Drosophila melanogaster: one gene and its partners. The protein of the gene in region 1 interacts with the protein of each later gene in a pairwise test. Each region holds a gene or a part of one and is shown in the gene's direction. Other genes may lie near its edges.

Region 1 (3,075 bases):
CGTCTGCCGCCGCCTTCTAGTCGGGTATTAATTCCATGCAAACTGCAGATTTATGGCACGAACTTTGCGAATCTGGGTTGGTCCTCTTTCGGTCTGCCGCGGCTCGTTATCCCGAGCTGAAATTGCACGGAAAAAGGTCAAACATATAAATTTGTGCTTTCACTAAAATAACCATAAATAATATGAGTAGTGCGTGCCATCACATTAAATAATCACGTAGATTACGCGTTTGAAAACGTTTTCTGAAAGTGAACGCAATTTTAACTGCGTGTAGATAAAGTGGATCTATAAACGTTCGTTTTATATTGTAGACGACAAACAATATATTATTTTATTCCACAACATAAAACGTTATATATCTACTTGATTTATAAAAGTATTTACAGGTAACCACCAGGGGCTAATATTATTATCTAAAATTTCTAAAACAAATTGATAATCAAAAAAACATCTACACAGCTGGCCCAAAGTAAACGAATGTGTGTTTGTTTAATCATATTTACTTTTGATTCATGAAAAACGAGATTCGACTGATATGTTGGTATATAAACCAGAGGATTGAGCTTTCTTCGTTTAGATCACAAAATCTCCCCAAAACGAAAATGAAACTTCTTCTGGTTCTGGCATTGGCAGTCTTCGTAGCCCACGTGGCTGTGGCCCAGACAACTGATTCGTCTGACGATGGAGATTACTCTTACGATTACGCTGATGACAACGATACTGCCGGTAGCTCCGAAGACAACACTGCTGATTCTGGAGACACTAGTGATAGCTCCACTGACGTCGACAGTGGAAACGACTCTGGGGACGTCGATTCCTATGACGACTACGAGGGCTCTAGCGATGTTACGGAAGCACCAACTGCTGCTCCAGTTGTCAAAAAGAACAAAAGAGCTGGTGCCAGGAAAAACAACAGGAACAACAAGAATAAGGCAGCAGCTAAACGTCGCAATGCCGCCGCTGCCAAGAAAAGTAATAACAAGAAGGCGGCTAAGAAGCGAACACCTGTTGCCGCCAAGAAGCGGGCAAATGCTGGACCCAACAAACGTAGGCGCTCTGGATAAATCCAGTTTATTATATTCGTAGCTACAAATTATAAAAATAAAAAATTATACCAAAAAAATTTGTTCCCAAAATTACCAAGATTTTTTTCTATGACGTTTATAAGTTAGGTTTTGAATTAATATATAATAATGATAATGATATTTACCAAGAATGTGGTTGTTGGGTATGGGTGTTTATTATTATGAATTTTGTACAAAACTTGAATATCACAGAAATTTTGAAATATATTTAACTATTTCACCCAATGTTCAAAAGACAAGAAAACATTCTACATAAGTTTTTATCGGCACGTGTTTTTTCCCTCATTTGTAAATAAATATATTTTTGATAAACAAAAACATACACCGCATATACTTGAAAAATTATATAATTTTAAAGACGTTTAATGTCATATCTATTTTTTCTATAAAACTACTAGCAGGTCGCCTAACGCGTAAACCATAGACAAATTGTTCAAAAATCCAGATAAGACATTTGTGACCTTGGCTCTTTTAATATAAAAGAGTTTATATTACTTTTTCGTGCTCTAACACAAAATATAATTTCATAATTTCAACATATAGCAATCGAAAAATGTTAAACAAATACAAGCAGCACACACAGGTGCTCTAAGCCACCGAAAATTAAGACGATGAATTAAAAAACCAATATTTGCATTCTACAGATGTACATAGAAAAATAATGTAAAAAAGCTTTATATATTTATAAATTTCTTCAGAGGAGAAAAAACTATAAATACCCAGTGTTGAAGACTTTTAAACTCAGACGTTTATACCTAAGGTTACCTATCTGTTCGTTGACTCTATAGATACAAAAAAAAAAAGATGAGGCTGCTGTTGGTTTTAAGCCTGGCCATATTGGTTGCCTTCGTAACGGGTGCTGATGACACTGACGATGACTATTACGATTATTACGACTATGGTGATGACTACTATGACGACTCTGATGTAGAGTCCAGTTCGGAAAGTGGTGTTGGTGCATCCAGTAGCTCAGAAGATGATGCTAGTACCTCCGAGGACAGTTCCTCCGGCGAAGCTTCCGATACAGGTAGTTCTTCAGAAACTTCTGGAGATGGTTCCTCCGCCGAAACGACCTCCAGTTCAACTCCAACCAAGGCAGAAAAAGCCAAGAAAACTGCTGCACGCAGAGCTAGACGGCGCAGGCGCACCACCACCGCTGCTCCCAAACGCAAAGTAGCGGCAGCCGCGTCTGCCAAGAAGCAAACACCTGTTGCCCAAAAGAAGAAGACACCTGTGGCAGCCAAGAAGAAGGCGAATACTGCCGCCAACAAACGCAAACGCACAGGCTAAGCAGTTCGAAAAAAGGATAAATTCCCCATAGTCACTGAAAGTTTTTACATCAAACTTTTAAGAGGACCAAGAGACATCTTGTAGAATCTACATTAGTCTGGGAATATTTCATATGTTGTTTTCTGTACAAAAAATCCATATAAAAATACAAAGATAAGGAGACGTTTTGTAATTTACCAAAAATATACATTATTAATCCAAAATATACAACAATTTTGTATTTGAGGGCTTAAATGATCTTTCTTCGGAGAGAAACTAATCATTACAAATCGTTTCTGAATACTTAAAATCGAAAGCCAACTAAAAATCAAGTATTCCTTAAAAGGAAAAAAATTTTTTGAACGAAACATTCATTTAATAAACTGTTGTGGTTTATATACAAGTCTCTGCAGCCAGATTAGTATAAATCGTTCTAGTGGCGTAGTATTACCAAAGTCAGCTGCATTTTGCTGCATATTTTTAGGCGCCCACATTTACATTTACCAGCGCTTTGGCGCATTGTGTTTCTATTTAGACGTAAGCCAATAGCATCTATAAATAGTAATTATGCCCTCATACAAGTAGACATAAATGCACAGGGACACTTAATTACTGATGCGCACAGGCGACAATTGTTTAATGGCGAAAGGATAACGAAAAGGGAGGAGCCTGAGTAGCGCCATCGGCCACCACAATGGGACCATTGTTTTCGATTTCAATG
Region 2 (7,798 bases), on another chromosome or scaffold:
TCAACACCTGGCCGCAGAACATCTGCAAGAGTTCAAAGCGATCGTTAGCTGATGGGTGTGGAAGATTAATTAGCGCCCATCAGCTTTGTCACCCATTAAACATATGCAGCCATCACCCTACAGACCCCGCCCCTGACCCCCCCCCCCCCCCTGCAGCACTCCTGATCAATCAGTTCAAGGCCGCGACGAACCCACAAAATATGCATAAATATTTCTGGCTTTATCAGCTTTTACGGATTTTTAATTTGGTGCCATTCCATACCTTAAATTGACTCAGGGCCCGCAGACTTGCAGATGGATTTCGGTTGGATTTGGTGGCCATAGAATTGAGATTCATTGAAGTTTTCAAAGATCAGTTGTTAACTTGCATTTGAGGTCCAGTGATTTTAGTCTTCAAAGAGTTTAATGCTTGTAAAAATATTTAATGTAAATTAATATTTGTATTTATTTCACTTTCTTATTAAGGAAAACTTTTAATGTGGAAAAATTCATTTGACATGTGACCAAAAGTCAATTGAAATTTGTTTCATTACACTTTCTAGGGTATTTGCATATCGTTGATAATTAACTGACTTGATTTGGTTAATTTTTAAACGCGAACTTAGCGATTTACATGCGGCACAGATGTGTGTTTTTGGCCAACGGGCGGGACGGCTGCTTTCGGGGATTGGTTGGTCAGCTCGATCGGGATTTACCAGATCGGCAAAGAGGCAAAACAACAATTGGCCTAAAATCAATAAATTAATTAATAAAATATACAAATTGCGAATGTTGAGTCGGCTCCACTCCGCTCAGCTCAACTCAACGCAATTCAACTCAACTCAGCTCGACTCAGATTGGATTGGCTTGACTTGGCTGGGATTGGAGTGGATTGGATACGAAAAACCTGTCATAACCAGAGCCCAGGCCCGTGACAAATTGGCTCCGAAAAACCAGAAGTACTCCTGCCAGCACAGATCGACCATCGAGGCGCTTGGGCACACAAGGCGAAAAAATCAGGAATTACATTTTTAATATCAGCTTGGCGGGTGGTAGATAATGTTAAATTATACAAACTAATTTAATCAATGATGTCATTGAAGGGGCATAGGAATTTTCTTTGTTAGTGGAAAAATTCAGGGAATATGTGAAGTACGTCGGCATAAATTAATTTAAAATTAATTTTAATTAATTAAAAATTATTCTTTTGCTCACATCCACAAAAAAGGAAAGGATGGCAAGGAAACTTCAGTAATCTGTAATCACATAACTAAGTAATTTGCGGTATTATAAACTTCTATATATTCCTAAAAATATATAGCATGGATACATACATATATTAAACACATTCAATTGAATGTATAAATATAGTTTATACAGTTGACTAAATAAGTCCTGATGAATTTGCATTTGTAATTTGATACAAATACAGACCAAAGTTAAGTTAAGCATATATGTTATATGGCAAAAAGGAAAAGTTCTGAAGAATTCGCATGCCTTGCTTGATTGATGACTATAGATGAAAGTATGGCTAGAATTCGACGTTTCTTACCACATTTTTCGCGCCGTGCAAAAGCAAAAAGAGCTTTTGAGCGCAGGCGGCGATGGAAGTGGAGGGGCTGGGAGTCGCTGGCGGAGGAGGAGGAGGAGGCGGTGGCCACGGGTTGGAGGTGCAGGCAGGCGGTTTGGCTAGGGCGGTCTGAACCTGTTGCGCAGCCGCTGCCGCCGTCGAAGTCACCGTCGCTGCCACAAAATATTGGATGGCCGTAGGTTAACTGTGTGCACACGGCATAAGTAACGTTCAGTCTGCCTCTAGAAGTCGATCGTGATCGTGGCCAGTCGTCAGTACCGCTCGCTAGCAGAGAAGCCGATAACCTCGCCCCCCTCCCTCAAAAAAAAATATATAAAATCAATTATAAATACACAAGTGTTTTTTTTCTAGTTTAAGTTTAAGACGCGCGCGTTTCGAGTTCATTTTGTTGTTGGTCCAAAGCCGCTCCCCACGCATCGAAAAACACGCACGAGCACACACATCAAGACAAAATGAAGTACTTCAACATGTGAGTGATCCAAAAATATATAGTATATATTTATTTCAAAATATTAAATATTGTTTCGTGACCGATGAGGAGAGATCGTATTTTTTTTTTCAAGTGATTGTTATAAAACTGAACAGGACATTGGAACAGAAATAGTAACTTATTAATAGACACATTTTATAATTAAAAATATTTAAAGAATATTTTAATCGAACCACTTTGAGCTTGATTTGCATAGCCCACCACGCACGCTAAACTTCTCGAATTTCTTTGGTACATATATTTAATTTTCGAAATCCCAACTTAGTTGCCAACCGTCGAAATGCATTGGCAATCGACTCCGTTGCATGTAGCACGTTGACTTGCAACCTTTATGGGGCACAACCACATGCAGGTGTAGGTAAGCTCGTCTTAATGCCAATTTGAACTTTAACATGCCGTGGCTTCAAACTGGAACTGAACCGAGCTCCGTGGCTGTGGCTAAAATGCCAAAGTTTGGTCATAACGATGATCACCATGATCAGCATTGCAACGACGACGATGATGATGATGATGATGTGATGAAGTTGTCACGGGATGTGAGGCTGGCATTTTGCCGGCAAAGAAATGGCAAAAGTTAAAGCTTCAGATCGTAAAAGGCGATCACAGTGGCGACAGCAGAGGGGGTGATGGTATGGGGTCTGCTCCATGTTTCAAGGTCGCCAGCTAAAGTGGCTCCTCCTTTCGAAGTGGATGCGCTCAACGCCTCAGATCGTCAGATCACCCGATCACCAGATCACCGCTTTCCTCGACTTTTCGCAGCTGCAGCAAATTAAGTATATTGGATTAATTACCGCGGTTGTCTTTTATAAATTAACGGTTGCACTTTTAATGCGAGCTGACAGACAGACCGCATATCTGCATAAATGCAATACCACTCGAATGGGGTGTGTATATATATATACATATATATATGTATGTATTATATGTGTTAATCGCAGCGTTGTATGCATGGAATTAATCACATGGAAATGGCGAGGAGAGAGGTGGAGTTGGAGTTGGTAGGTGAGTCGGCAGGCAGACGGCTAAATCAGGATTTTCCGTTCCATTTCCCCGGCATGGTGTATTATGCAATTTATTTTAAATAAATAAAAGAAATGAAAATACACGGCGATGCCTTCAAGATTCAACATTCAAGATTCAAGGACTTTCGAGTCGCAAAATTGGCAGTGTGTGTGTGTGTGTGTGTGTGTATGAGTAATATACATATGTGCTGCACTTCATGGGCCAAAGCGAATTCAATGCGATACCGAAAACGTAAACACCAAAATACCACTCTGGGCCAAATCAAAAGACTTAGGCAGCGAACTCGATCGATTTGGCATGCAGCCAGCCAGCCAGCCAGCCAGAAGTAGTAGTAGTAGTGTAAAAACACGTACCAAAGCAACCAAAACACGTACTTGGCCAACTAACAACGACACAATGCACCGTTATTGAACCCACTTGCCTCAAGCGGCCAATCGGCTCTTTTCGCCTTAATTTTGGAACAACTCACCAGGCCAAACCCCCATCCAACCTCCATCCAATTTAACTGGCTTGCTGACTTCAACTTGATCCAACGCGGCAGCAATAAAAGCAGTTACAATCAAATTGAATTCGAATTTGAATCCGATTCGGTGTCGAATGTGCACGTTTGGCCCGTAATAAGTGGCTACACATACATATGGTCCAAATGGGGGGGGGGACTATCTGATCGGGGGCTTGGGGGGTGTGGCCCGTAGGGGGGGGCAAAGGTGCATGCTGGTAGTGGACGCGTAATGAGGTCTCCAGGGCAATTAGAAAACGTGCATGGCTTAACTGGGGCAGGTGTCGCATTTCGTTACGGAAACTTTGAGCCCAGCTCAAGATCAACACTTTCAAGAGGCATTTTTTCTTTTTGAAAAGGTTTCTCTACATTTAGAAATATTGGCCGAATAGTTTCAGATTTTAAGACATTATTTAAATGGGTTTCCTCTAGACTTCAGTTTATAGTTTTTCTTCAGCTTTTATTTGACAAAAACTCGAAATGCATACATAATTCAAGCAAAGCAACTTCCGCTTCTTAAAACTTGAAGACAACCAATCGTTTTAATGCTGCATAAATTGCTTTTGAGTGTGGAAGTTCTTTCATATCCGCAGTAGGCCCAATGACGTCAGCCCATTAAGTCGAAATAAAAAGGCAAAAAAACAAAAAATAAATAAAATAAGCAGCATAAGCCAACAAAACAGAGTGCGAAACGAAAGGAAAACAAAAGGAGACCAAACAAAAGCGAAATGAAATGAAATAAATTAAGAGCCAAACCAATTTGTTGACCAAGCTCTTTAAATGAGGATGATAATGAGGCCGAACGATGAGGCTGCATTAAATAAGTGGTTCCGCCTGATCCACGAAATTCTCGCCAACGCGAGTTGCTTATCATAAATTCGCAACTAATGTCGGCTTATATAACCACCGGCTGGCACTAAAAACAGCCCACGGCGACCAGAAATGTGCCCGTCTGCCGGTGTACCGCCGTACCAGCCGCATCCATTTGCCTACCCATCTATCTACCTGTCCACCCAACGGATTGTTTGTGGGTGTGGACTGCGCACTGGCGTCGTCTGCGCCCTGCCATTGTTCCCGTTGGCCAATCCGCTGGAGAACCGGTTGCGAGATGCTCTATGCCCAGTGCCTAGCCAAATGTCATGGAAAACCCAGCACTTGCAGAACTGACATATGATCCCCCACACCACAGATACATAAATACCAAATATTGCCTTGCGTATAAAACAATGGTATAATAAATATTGGAAATTAACTAATAACAATGAGTGAGTTTATAAGCAACAAACTAAACCGAACTAAACTAAACCAGTGAAGAAAAGCTTTATTCAAAACGTGATCGATCCATTCAAAATGAAAGATCTAAACGACCCGAAGAGAAAATCGTTGGCCCAAGCCCCCTTGAGAAATATTTCTGGGCACGCCTCTGGGCACTGAACTGAAGTCGCTGGAGTCGCTGGGATGTTGAAGATGCCGGGCACGCACCCACAACTTGGGCCCACGCCTTTCACCTTTTGCCAGTTGCATAATTGTCGCTTAACTGGGCCATCTCCATAGCTACATCCACGTTCATATCGATATCCACAGCCACATGTATTCCCACATGTAAAGCCAATCCAGTTGACCCCATAAGCAAATAAATCCCAATGGGGGAAATGCAGCATGCTCGAATGCAAATGAAACGAGCGATACGATAATCGAGTAGAAATAATTAAAATGAACAACGGTGCTATGTGTGTTGGCTAAAAATAAAACTTGGCTTGCACATTTTACCGTTATTAGCCAACTGCAACTGTGAGCGCGCACTTAAATATATTCTGGCGTGGTGCTGGCTGCCACCAACTGGTTTCCCCCGCCCCACTCGTGGCGCTGTTGACTGCCTTTTGCATAAGCACCTGTTTCCTTTGGCCACTCACCCACCGCAACGCCCTGCACAGCCGTACCAACCCCATTCCCCCAACCTTCCACTCCTCTGGCCACCCCCTCATCGCGGCAATAACAACAAAGCACTCGACTTAAGCGTTGCCATAGGAAAGAATTTCAAAACGAGTTCGCTGCCTAAGTCTTTTGTTTTGCATAAAATATGAGCAATTGACTTGACTCACTGAAGCCGCCGCCATCGTCGCCAGCGGCAAAGAGAAATAAAAAGTGGTTAACTAAAGCAAGAAATAAGGAAAAAAAAATATATATATACAGTAGAAACAACAACAACAACAGATACGGAGCAACATTCATTCGCATTCGAATTCGGCATTAAAGCGAAATCCATATCCAAATCGAAATCGAAAGTGAACAAACCCGTTTGTCTGACCTTTACACATTAATATTTGTTAGCACATCTCTGTCCTCCGTCAGCATGCGACATAAAGTATACAAAAAAAAAACAAAAAAAAACAAAAATAAAATAGCAAATCTTACAGGAAACCCGAATGGCAACTACTAATAAATATTAATTATTAGCCTAAACAAATCCAGCTCTTTACGACCTTTACAGGTGATAAATCTAAATAGAGTTAAAAGTGAGAACAAATTCTGCTGATTTTGCAAGCATATAAGCCTATTGTTGATTGAATATCGCTGTTTTAGATCTTCACTTTGCTAAATTTATTATAATTTCATGCTTCTTATTCAGTTAATTACCATATTTCTTGTCGTATCATTCAAAGAGTTTCCACTGTATATGTAGGGGCGGGCACATATGTATTTTATGTACACAATATTTACGACTTCAGGTTCTGTATTGAATAACCCGTCCAACCAGACCTGTCCCGTCCGTCCGATCGCCCAAGAGTTGGGTTCGAGCTGGAAGTCACGAGGATTAGATGCGTGTAGATGTTGGCCAACCTTGCCCGGGGGATTCACCAGATGCCATTCCATCACTGAATCGATTCGAATAGATCCGTTTCGTATCGATTCGAAAGTCGAGCGGTACATTGCACCAGCGACTTCGAAATTCAAGTTATTCCAGTAAATAATACTCGTAATTAACGAAACATTGTTCGTATAAACAACCAATGGGATTTTAATGGCAACAATTCAGTATTGATTTATGTAAAATTTGAATATTTAAGCATCTAATCATGGCAACAAATAGGCACTTGCATTTAAATTCTAATGTTACTGACTAATGATAGCAAGATCGAATTTTTCAAGAAACCTTCAGAATACTTATTTAAAGTATAATTTAATTTAAGTATAAGGAAGTGTGTTTTTTGTCTTTTTAACCATTTGAAAATTATTTCAGTAATTAAATGGTGTTCCACTTTTGGCAATGGTTTTTAATGAGCTATTTTTGGCAGTTTTCAAAGTATTTAAATGAGTAAAAGCATAAGTATTTAAAATAGGAGCTATATACGATTGGCATGAATTATTAAATAATTTTGTTTCATTGCAGTATAATTATATAATTATTAATAATTTATTATATTTTTTTTAATCCACTTAGCTGCCTGCTCTTCATCGTCTGCGTCCTGTGCTACGGAGTGGTCTCCGCTCAGGAGGAGGGTGGTCCCGCCGTTTCGCCGGCGAAGAGAATCGCCGCCCTGCGCCGTCCGGTCGGGAAGGCGGCCAAGGTGACAACCACGACGACAGCGGCGCCAGCACAAGCGGATGCCGGCGGCGAGGGCGAGGAGTATGACGAGGAAACCGGCGAGCACGGCGATCATGGCGAGGAGGGCGACGAGGCGTCCTTTGCCAGCTCTACCACCACCACCACCACGGAGGCGCCCAAAAAGGTCGGCCCGGTTATCCGGCCGTTCCGCTCCAACGATGACTTCCTCAACTCGCTGAAGCGCCGTCAGGCGAACGCGAAGAAGCACCGTGCCGAGAAGCCGCCCAGTCCCAGCAAGCCGGCCAAGAAGAGCGACGAGTCCAACTCCGGCGAGCAGGAGGAGCAGGCATCCGCGCCAGCACCCGCCCCAGCATCCAGTCCCGCCAAGGGCTACAAGGGCAACTCAGCATGTAAGTTAGTCAGGGATTAGGCCAGGATTTTGCTCTAAATGGACTAGCAGTGCCTTCTGAATTTACTAATTTTGAAATAATTGACATTAAACTAGAATAGAAATCTTTAAAATCATCTCTCTATATCAAGTTATTAAATCCATTACTAACTAACGCTTTAACTATCCCCAGTGAGCCGTCGCAAGCTGTCGAAGCCCGCCAAGGCGACGCCCGTGGAGGCGGTGGAGGATGCCGCCGCTGAGGAATCGGAGCAGCAGCA
Region 3 (6,491 bases), 8.2 Mb from region 1:
CTGCGCCGTGAGCTCAAGGTGATCAAGGGCTGTCAGGGATTGGCCGATGCCGCCCTCAAGGAAGCCGAGGAGCAGATCCGCAAGCTGCGCGCCGCCATCTATTTGCTCGATCAGGATCTGGCCGCCAAGGATAAGTCACTGGCCATCGACGAGAAGAACCTGAAGCTCAAGGAGTTCCAGCACGACCTGGCTAAGGGACAGGATTTGTCCAAACAGCATTGGTAGGTTTTTGAAAACTAGGTTGCATGTCAATCACACATGTTGGGGTTTCCTTTTTAAGGAATGATGAAGTGGATTGATTATTAATCTTTTTTCTTTCACTTTTATGCGTAAGTCATTTCGGTGTTCATCAGTACAAGGAGTTTAAAAGGATAAACATTTTACTAGAGTCTTATCCACAAATTCCATTACAAAGTCAAGTAGTTGTTCCCCTTTTCAGTTAGGAATGGAATTGAGGAAGGTCAAACCTAACAATGAAACCGCAGTTTCCTTGGTGATATGGGATAGAGTTGTCCTGAGTCTATTTTAGTGCATTGGAATTAAGTGATTTATTTACAACCACTCAAATCGACCTGATAGTTGCCATGACTCCACCATGCCTTTACCCCCTTCTCTTCCTTACCCAGCCAATTTTCGCTGACCGAGTGGCAGGCGCAGACGTACGAGAATCTGGAGGCCAACGCCAAGGCGCTGGTGTCCGCCGGGCAGCTGCGGGCCTACATCGATTTGCTGCTGAAGCAGGTGTGCGAGGATATGCAGAACCAGACGGACAGGACCAACGAGGCCTTTGAGCGAAGGATCTCGGAGACGAAGCACGTGAAACAGTGTTTGGAGAACAAGCACAAGGACACCATGGATCACATCCATCAGGTGCAGCGCAACATGACCGAGCTGGAGAAGGAGATGATGGACAAGCAGCGGGCCATTACACTGTGCCAGACGCGGCTCAGCAATCGCGCCCATCGTCCTGGCCTGGAGCTGACCTGCGACATGGTCCAGGATGCGCTTTACAACGAACTGCAGGCGCTGAAGGCATCCGTATGCAAGCTCAATCAGAAGCTGAACGAGAACAAGGCATCCATGCGCTACCTGATGCACGTCCAGGTGATGCAGGAGGAGGAGATCAACATCAAGGCGAACACCTGCAAGATCGACGAGGTCGACTGCATGACCCTGCGACAGGCCCTGAAGTACCAAACATTTTAGTCGGGCAGCACTACATCCAGTACAGCACCAGTCCAGTAGTCGCCACACAGCCCAGCCACCAATAATCAAATTAAAATCTAATTATTAGATGCATGTGCATTTCGTGTTCGATCCCAAATTACTTAATAAATTGAAATTCACTTTCGATTTCCAGTTACCAAAACTATGGCTTTTTAATGCATTTTTAAATTGTTCATTTTATTCGAAATAGTTAATCATATATTTCTTTTGCTTAATTTTCGTGAATTTAAATTTCCCGCTTTGAATCTAGTATTTTTAGTTTTACCTGCCTCTATTCGATATTTACCGCTAAGCACAGACATATAGTTATCGATAACGTGAACGCAAATGCGAGGGAGTATTGCAAATAGTGTTACCGTGCTGCTGTGAAAATTCCCAGGTGTGACCGCAGCCCGCATTCGATATTGATGAAGCCAGGCAAAACGTAGAAAAGCAAAAGAAAACCTTAATTAATGTTAAGTTAAAAGTGTATAAACCCGAGATTAAGGTAAGTGGCCCACCACCATCTAGATTTTGAGTACACCGAAGGCATGGCGATGTTGGCAGTGGCGGGAGCGTTACGCCTCTACCGCCACCGCCTCCGCCGCACACGATAAAAAATGGAGTACAGCCACGAATGGGCAAATCAATAATTTTCAACACTCCAATTGTTTTTACAACTGAAATCAGTCCTAATCTTGTTTTCCGCAGTGCAAGGATGTCGAAACGGAGCGCCGACGACGCCACCGGCAGCAGCTGCTTGGTGGCCGCCGCAGCCGCCGGCCAGCCGCCCATCAAGAAGGTGCACTTCGAGCCCCATCTGATTGGGCCGGTGTCCACGCTGGAGGAGATGGACATCAAGGTGCTGGAATTCCAGAACAAGAAGCTAGCACAGCGCATCGAACAGCGGATGCGAACGGAGGCGGAGCTGCGACATCGAATCGAGCAGCTGGAAAAGCGGCAAACGCAGGACGACGCCGTTCTAAACGTGGTCAATCGGTATTGGAATCAGCTGAACGAGGACATACGAGTCCTGCTGCAGCGCTTCGATGCCGAGACGGCCGACGAACTGGAGAACCGGAATGAGAACGAGGTGACCACCTCGTTTCTCGCCCAACTGTCCACCTGGGACAAGGAGGAGCTGGACGAGAAGCTGGCCAACCGCGTCCAAGTGTCCAAAAGGGCGGTCGCCAAGATCGTACAGGTTATTGATAGGTTAATGCAACGCAATGAAAAGATAACTCATGTCTTGAAAGGTGATAGTCTGGCTTCAGCTGGCTCCGGTTCAGGAGCGGGAGCTGGCGGCGAGGAGGAGCAGCAGCAGGCCAGCGGCGATGCGGAGACCACAACGTCATCGGCCGGTGTCCATGCGCTAGAGGAAACCCTGAAGCAAACGCACATCGAGATCATGAGCGAAAATCACAAGCTGCAGAATCTGAATACCTCGCTGCACGAGAAGTTCCACACCATGTCGCTGAAGATGAAGGAGTACCAGGACGCTCATACCGCCAAGGAGACGGAGAACGCCGAACTGAAGAACCAGATAGACGAACTGCAATATGACCTAGAGAAGATCCATTGCCGGAATGATAAGCTGGAGAACCACTTGGCCGAGGCTATTGAAAAGCTGAAGGCCTACCACCAGATTTACGGTGATCCCAATAAGAGCACTAATAGTGCCAAGACACCAACTACCACAGGCAGCGGCGGCGCCACCACCAGCGTTAATAGCCAGCTATTGGAGGAGCTGCAAAAGGAGCTGGAGGAGTACCGCGAACTGGCCAACAACCGACTGCAGGAGCTGGATAAGCTTCACGCCACGCATCGCGAAACCCTGAAGGAGGTGGAGAAGCTTAAAATGGATGTAAGTTTTGAATGAATAATGTATTAGCTTATCTGGAGCATTGCTAATTATAGTTAGTCATTTCGTTTATATTTTCTTTGTATTATACTGATTCATCCTTAAAATCCATTCCAGATACGACAGTTGCCGGAATCGGTAATTGTGGAAACCACGGAGTACAAGTGCCTGCAGAGCCAGTTTTCCGTGCTCTACAACGAGTCCATGCAGATAAAGACCATGCTGGACGAGACCCGAAACCAGCTTCAAACGAGCAAGAACCAGCATCTGCGACAAATCGAAGTGATGGAGAGCGAGGAACTTATTGCCCAGAAGAAGGTGCGCAGCGAGATGATCCAGATGGAGGACGTTTTAGCCCTCATCCGAAAGGAGTACGAAACGCTACGCATTGAGTTCGAGCAGAACATGGCAGCCAACGAGCAGACGGCACCCATCAATCGCGAGATGCGCCACCTGATCACCTCTCTACAAAACCACAATGGCCAACTGAAGGGTGAGGTGCAGCGCTACAAGCGAAAGTACAAGGACACGTCCACGGACAACTTGAAGCTGCGTCAGGAGCTGGCCGATGCACTAGCTACACTCGAAGGCAACAAGTTGCAGGCGGCGACTGGTGCGGCTGGCGAAGAAATCAAGCAGGAGAACTCAACAGGTGTGAAGGAGGAGAACTCCAACAACGTTTCCGCCAGTGGACAAACAAACCAAACAAATTCCGGCAACGATACCAACGTAGCCATCAAGGAGGAGAACCATATCTCGGCTGAAGATGAAGCTGATGACGAGGCCAGTGGTAAGGACGTAAAAGACGGCATCAAGCAGGAGAAGCTCAGTTCTGGAGACGCGGCGGCAGCTGAGAAGAAGGATTCCCCTGGACCCGGAAACTCAACAAGTTCTGCGACCAATTCTGTTCCCGTCAAAAACGAAAAGGATTCCAAGGATGGTGTCAAGGGCAAGGATGTGAAGGCAGTGGAAAGTGAAACGGTGCGCGATCTGAAGGCGCAACTAAAGTAAGTTTGTTCAGCAATTACGATTATCTATTTAACATTGTTTGATTTACAGAAAAGCACTGAACGACCAGAAAGAAATGAAACTCCTGCTGGATATGTACAAAGGCGTATCGAAGGATCAGCGCGACAAGGTCCAGTTGATGGCCACCGAAAAGAAACTGCGCTCCGAGATCGAGGAGCTCCGCCAGCAGCTGAAGAAGCTGCAGGAAAGCAAGCGCGAGGAACGCAAGAAGCTGGCCGACGAGGAGGCGTTACGTAAGATTAAGCAATTGGAGGAGCAGAAGTACGAGCTGCAAAAACAGATGGCCAACCACAAGCCAACGGATAATTCTTGGGGCAGTGGAGCCCCCGGCACAGCGAACTACACGCGACCGTTTGTTGGTTCCCACGAAGAGGAGGCACTGCTGAACGAGATGGAGGTTACCGGCCAGGCGTTCGAGGACATGCAGGAGCAGAACTCCCGGCTCATACAACAGCTGCGTGAGAAGGACGATGCGAACTTTAAGCTAATGTCGGAGCGCATCAAGGCCAACCAGCTGCACAAACTTCTGAGAGAGGAAAAGACGGTGCTGGAGGATCAGATGGCAACGGCGACCACGCAAATCGAAGCCATGCACATTGTGCTGCGAAAGCTGGAGGAGAAGGAACGCAGCCTGCAGGCCACCGTCGCGTCGATTGAGAAAGAGTTGATGCTGCGGCAGCAAGCAATGGAGATGCACAAACGCAAGGCGATTGAATCGGCGCAATCGGCAGCGGACCTCAAGCTGCATCTGGAAAAGTATCACGCGCAAATGAAGGAGGCGCAGCAAGTGGTGGCGGAGAAGACCAGTTCGCTGGAGGCGGAGGCCTACAAGACCAAGCGGCTGCAGGAGGAGCTGGCGCAGTTTAAACGCAAGGCGGAGCGCATGAAGAAGATGGAAATGTCGGGCACCACCATCGACGAGGTGATGATTGAGGAGATCCGCGAATACAAAGAAACGCTCACGTGTCCCTCGTGCAAGGTGAAGCGGAAGGATGCTGTCCTGTCAAAGTGTTTCCACGTCTTCTGCTACGACTGCCTGCGCACTAGATATGAAACGCGGCAGCGGAAGTGTCCCAAATGCAACTGCGCCTTCGGCGCCAACGATTATCATAGGCTATATCTGCAGTAGATAAGCGATAATTTAGATACGTTCCGGTCATGTCCTATTCATACACAAATCCACCCACGCCACACACCACTACCGCACACCCAGCATTCATGCCGGATTATTATTCATTATGCATATATTACCTACGTACTAATATTTGGTTAAGTAGTCTCCGAATAACTTTCCCCCACCAGATTTCCCATGGCAATTATTTGAATTCGTTCATTCTGGCGCCAAGCAAAAGCATCTCATTATGAGTGCCGCGAGATCGTGACGCGGTTTTTATGTAGCTTCTAGTTTTTGTAAATCAAACTATTTTTAAATGATTTCATTTGAAAACTAAATGTACGAACACTAATAAATGGCTAAAACCTATTGTTTAGCATGCCCCGAGTTATTTAGATACCCCATATATACATAAGTGTAGGTTCTTTGTCTTGCATTCAGTTAGCATTATATTAAGCGTATTCTAATCTTAAGTTAAATACTCCTATTGTAATGATCAAACGTAGCATAGATATCAAATGTATAAACTTGGCGGAGAATCCGTTTAAAAGTCGCGCTTTGCTTTGAAGGGCTGCTAACTTGGTTATAATTGATAAGTAATTGTAATAATGTATGATCGAAAATTGTTGTTCAGCTGAACAAAACGAGTTTTGATTGCTTTTTTGTTTGTGTGTAAATGTGTTCGTTCTTTATGTGTACTGTTTAACGAATAAAGAAACTAATGATCAGAAATCGTGACTTTCAATCAATGTTATCTCTCTACATGAAATCCACCTGTTAGAGCTGTTAGCACCCACGCACTCATGTTAATAACATCGATGCTTATCTGAAACCTGTAACCATTGGCGCGCAACAGGTTATCGGGGTTTAAAACGCTATGCTGGTATTTTGTTCTCTACAGAAAGTAGGAAAGTGGCCATAACTATAATTTTATGTATAAACAGTTTGATCATATTCTAAATTTCTATTTTATGGCACAAGAACATAAAACGAATGGTTAATTTAACTCAACTGGTATAAATTGGTAATTATCATTGCATATTTTCTATTTATAAATATTTAATTGCGTCCAACTGGACCAAAGTCTTTTGAGCAATTGTCTTAATTTTAATTTGCATCACACTTTTGCAGGCAAATCTAGTTTAAGTTAGCCGTGTTAGGTTCCAATTGGCCAGAACAGCCCAGTTGGCCAGGCCATTCCCCAGTAATTATGCTACCTAGTATTTATTACAATGGCTCAAGAGCAACGACATTGTCTTGTGCAATTATAATTAACAGCTG
Region 4 (3,393 bases), 8.7 Mb from region 1:
CTGTAGCAATCGTCTATCCACTGCGCTGCCTTTGCTGGCGTCTTCTGCGCTGCTGTTGGCGGCGGCGCCTTTGGCGCTGTTGGCGCCTTTGGCGCTGTTGGCGCCTGCGCCGTTGGCGGGCCAAGCGACGACGACGGGCGGCGGCCCTGCGACGACGGGCGGCCGCGCTGGAGGACGACGACGAGGACGAGGACGAAGAAGTGGTGGTAGTCGTGGCAGACGAGGCCACTGTGGTGGTGTCGGAAGACGTTGAGGCTTCAGTTGTGTCGGAGGAAGAGGACGCGGTAGTGGAGGTGTCCGAGGCGCTGGTACTATCCGAGGAGCTTTCAGTGCTCGTTCCCGTAGCTTCGCAGCCCTGCTGGGCAAACAGGAGGCAGCCGAGAAGGGCCAAGAGCAGAACAAATATGAATCGCATTCTAAGCAGTTATATCTTATGATTTGGAGAATAGCCTATTTATATGATGTTGAACCCGGAAACTTGGTTGAGAAACGCGCTCATTACCGTAAATCTATTACATTATTATGTGTGTTAAGACTCAAGAGCAACGTTTAAACTATATGGCGGCACACATAATTTCTCAATCTGAATAAACATTACCAAAATTTACCTTAGTTAAAGCTAACAATCCAGCAGACCTATTAGCTTACACGCTTTTGGTAAACCACCATTATTCAAATTTGCTATAAAAACATGCGTAACGTCTCAAATGCGTCAAAGACATTCAGCATGCGCTTCTCGATCGTAATTGTTCTTTCCGTCCTAGGATGCCTCCTGCTTAGCCAGGAGGGCAGTAGCAGCACATCTACATCCTCGACGACGACCACAACCACCGACTCCTCTGCCACCACTACCACGGCTTCGTCCGCCACCACTACCACCACTGCCTCTTCCGCATCCACCACGACCACTGCCTCCTCCTCATCCTCTTCCTCTGCGGAGGCCAGGAGGCGCAGGCGCGCCCGTCGCCGTCGTCTGGCGCGTGAGAGGCAACGAAGGGAGCGCAGAAGGCAGCGCAGGACTCAGAGGCTGCGCCAGCAACTGGAGAATCAACGTCGACAGATCAACCAGCTGAGCGGATGAAGGTCTTCGGAAAGACTCGGCTTATGACAATTTAGGAAAAGCTGTTGTAAATATGTGAAAGCTAAATTCTTTCATTGTTCAAGTTCGCCAAGATAATAAAACATTTGATTGTACATTCTGATAATTCTACTTTATTGGAGCACAAAAACGTGTGGGAGTGGCATATTTAAGCGGCTTGAGGGAGTTCAACGTTCTCAACTCTCTAGCTTTTAGAGTTGCTGAGGTCGAGACATTCGTTCGGACAGACGGAGTAATAGTGATCAAGCATATACATATGTATAATTAATAGGGTCGGAAACGCCTGTTACATACTTTTCAACAAATCTAGTTTAGTCTCATTCCAGGAGTAGCCTGTTTCAAATCGAGACGAATTTTGAAATCGGTAACTGGTATAAAATTAATATAATTATACACATCTTTGTTGTGTTTGGTTTAAAAATAATGTAAACCACGTATTTGTTTTTTTGGAAAATAAATCTCTAATTTCGGAGAACTTAAATGGATATAAGCCAAAATGCAACAGCACAAAACTGTTAATTGGGTACGCAAAGCTCAAATGAAGAACAAATAAAACACCTTTAACTCGTCAAGTGCTGCGATTTTTACTCAGATAAGATGTGAATGTACATAAATAGGTTATACCAAATATTTCCTTCAGACGTGACGTGGTCGCCATACATAATTAGGCGTAAGAAGCGTTATAATATTACCTTTTTATCTCGTTTTCAACGAGTTAAACCCGGCTCACTATCAATAATATATCGATCGACTCTTTTACTCTGTTGACCTTACAAGCCCAAGACATTGACGAGCTGGATAGGCTGTGCACACATTTCCGATTTCCGATACATGATATTTGTTTAATTGTTACCCCGTATTGAGTATAAAAGGCCGTCTGATTAGATTAGATTAGACACAACAAAATGCGCTTCCTATTCGCTCTACTTCTCAGCGTGCTCCTGTGTCTGCTCCTGGCTCAGGAGGGCAGTAGCAGCACATCTACATCCTCGACGGCGACCACATCCACCGACTCCTCTGCCACCACTACCACGGCTTCATCCGCCACCACCACTACCACCACTGCCTCCTCCGCATCCACCACGACCACTGCCTCCTCTTCCTCCTCCTCGGCGGAGGCCAGGAGGCGCAGACGTGCTCGCCGTCGTCGCCTGGCTCGTGAGCGCCGTCGTCGCCAGGAGCGGAGACAGCGCCAGGAAAAGAGGAGGCGCAGGATGGAGCAGCTGCTGGTGAGGCAGCGTCGCCTGATCAATCAGCTTCAGGGATAAGTGGGGGCTTGGTCCCTTAAGATAGAATCTTCGGCCGTTCAATAGAAATATAAGCGCTGCACCAACTAATCAGATTATTAGATTGATCTCTTTCTTTGGAGGTATTTTTGAGAAGGCATGCCTGCAGCGTTGAGCAAGGTTTCGTTGTGGGCATTAGAGCATTTAAGACGTTTCCACAGGCATTCCCACGCACATCTACATATTCTATCCGACAAGCGGCGAATCCGCGCAATTCCAAGGCGGCAGACAATTGGCCCTATCCCTGGAGTTTATTATACCAGAGCTTGAGCGCTCGAAAATGCTTTTCTTGCAGCCAAGCTCAGCAGTCAGCCCGCCTGGAATCAAATCAAATAAAATATTCATTTTGGTCTTTGAACTGTGCATAAATGTGCTGCTGTTCACGAAGTGATGGAGCCACCCAAGCCCTGGATACTTAAATCTATTGGATGTGAATAAAAATTACGCTGAATGTGTGCATATATAAAGAGTGCGGTTTGGTGACGGCACGTCATCATATTCTTAGACGTTTCAAAAAGCCAAGGATAACATAGAGACTGACAGGGGGAATCGATGTTTTTTGGTCTTTTTTTTTTTTGCATAACTGCTTGAAAGCAGTTCAAGATTGGGGTTATATTCTGTTAACAATATTCGAATCCACATTTGCTTCTTTGTGCCCATTAATTGCTCAGATCAGACGCATAGAGAATGCCGCCATCTCTGAAGGCTGAAGAAATTTTTTATCGGATTTTCTCGCTACAAAATTGCATTTCAGGGAACTTCGTCCGCAGACTGGGCAGCAATTGAGGGAAACGAAAATAAGCAAAATGCCGCCAGCCAAAAGGTAAAGTACGTTAGGCTGGGCCAACCCTTATTGTTGTCATTTTCCAGATTGCCATTCTGCCATCAATGCCGATTCTAAGCACAAAACGGAGAAAAATGTGTTCTTTCCATCAGATTATTTCCTTCAGATCCGAACCCCTTTTTTAAATTGCTGTGGCATGCGAAATCTTAAAGGAGTCGTAGATT

The links.
Region 2: the proteins of CG9040 (region 1) and CG9782 interact in a two-hybrid assay, tested with the Drosophila melanogaster proteins (one large-scale study listed by BioGRID).
Region 3: the proteins of CG9040 (region 1) and Bre1 interact in a two-hybrid assay, tested with the Drosophila melanogaster proteins (one large-scale study listed by BioGRID).
Region 4: the proteins of CG9040 (region 1) and CG14454 interact in a two-hybrid assay, tested with the Drosophila melanogaster proteins (one large-scale study listed by BioGRID).

Annotation. Positions count from the first base shown.
Region 1 is NT_037436.4:13,986,053-13,989,127, forward strand, and holds CG9040 (uncharacterized protein), read left to right. Parts: upstream 1-1,825; 5' UTR 1,826-1,889; coding exon 1,890-2,375; 3' UTR 2,376-2,574; downstream 2,575-3,075. Other genes in the region: CG17362 (uncharacterized protein), read left to right, coding at 603-1,064.
Region 2 is NC_004354.4:16,615,571-16,623,368, reverse strand, and holds the start of CG9782 (uncharacterized protein), read left to right. Parts: upstream 1-1,779; 5' UTR 1,780-2,022; coding exon 2,023-2,039; intron 2,040-7,024; coding exon 7,025-7,539; intron 7,540-7,710; coding exon 7,711-7,798.
Region 3 is NT_037436.4:5,789,279-5,795,769, reverse strand, and holds Bre1 (Bre1), read left to right. Parts: upstream 1-1,577; 5' UTR 1,578-1,714; intron 1,715-1,917; 5' UTR 1,918-1,924; coding exon 1,925-3,070; intron 3,071-3,184; coding exon 3,185-4,074; intron 4,075-4,126; coding exon 4,127-5,225; 3' UTR 5,226-5,939; downstream 5,940-6,491. Other genes in the region: Tektin-C (tektin C), read left to right, coding at 1-221, 627-1,206. UniProt on the Drosophila melanogaster protein: E3 ubiquitin-protein ligase that mediates monoubiquitination of 'Lys-117' of histone H2B. H2B 'Lys-117' ubiquitination gives a specific tag for epigenetic transcriptional activation and is also prerequisite for histone H3 'Lys-4' and 'Lys-79' methylation.
Region 4 is NT_037436.4:22,691,124-22,694,516, reverse strand, and holds CG14454 (uncharacterized protein), read left to right. Parts: upstream 1-1,988; 5' UTR 1,989-2,004; coding exon 2,005-2,367; 3' UTR 2,368-2,843; downstream 2,844-3,393. Other genes in the region: CG14453 (uncharacterized protein), read right to left, coding at 14-415; CG12546 (uncharacterized protein), read left to right, coding at 728-1,081.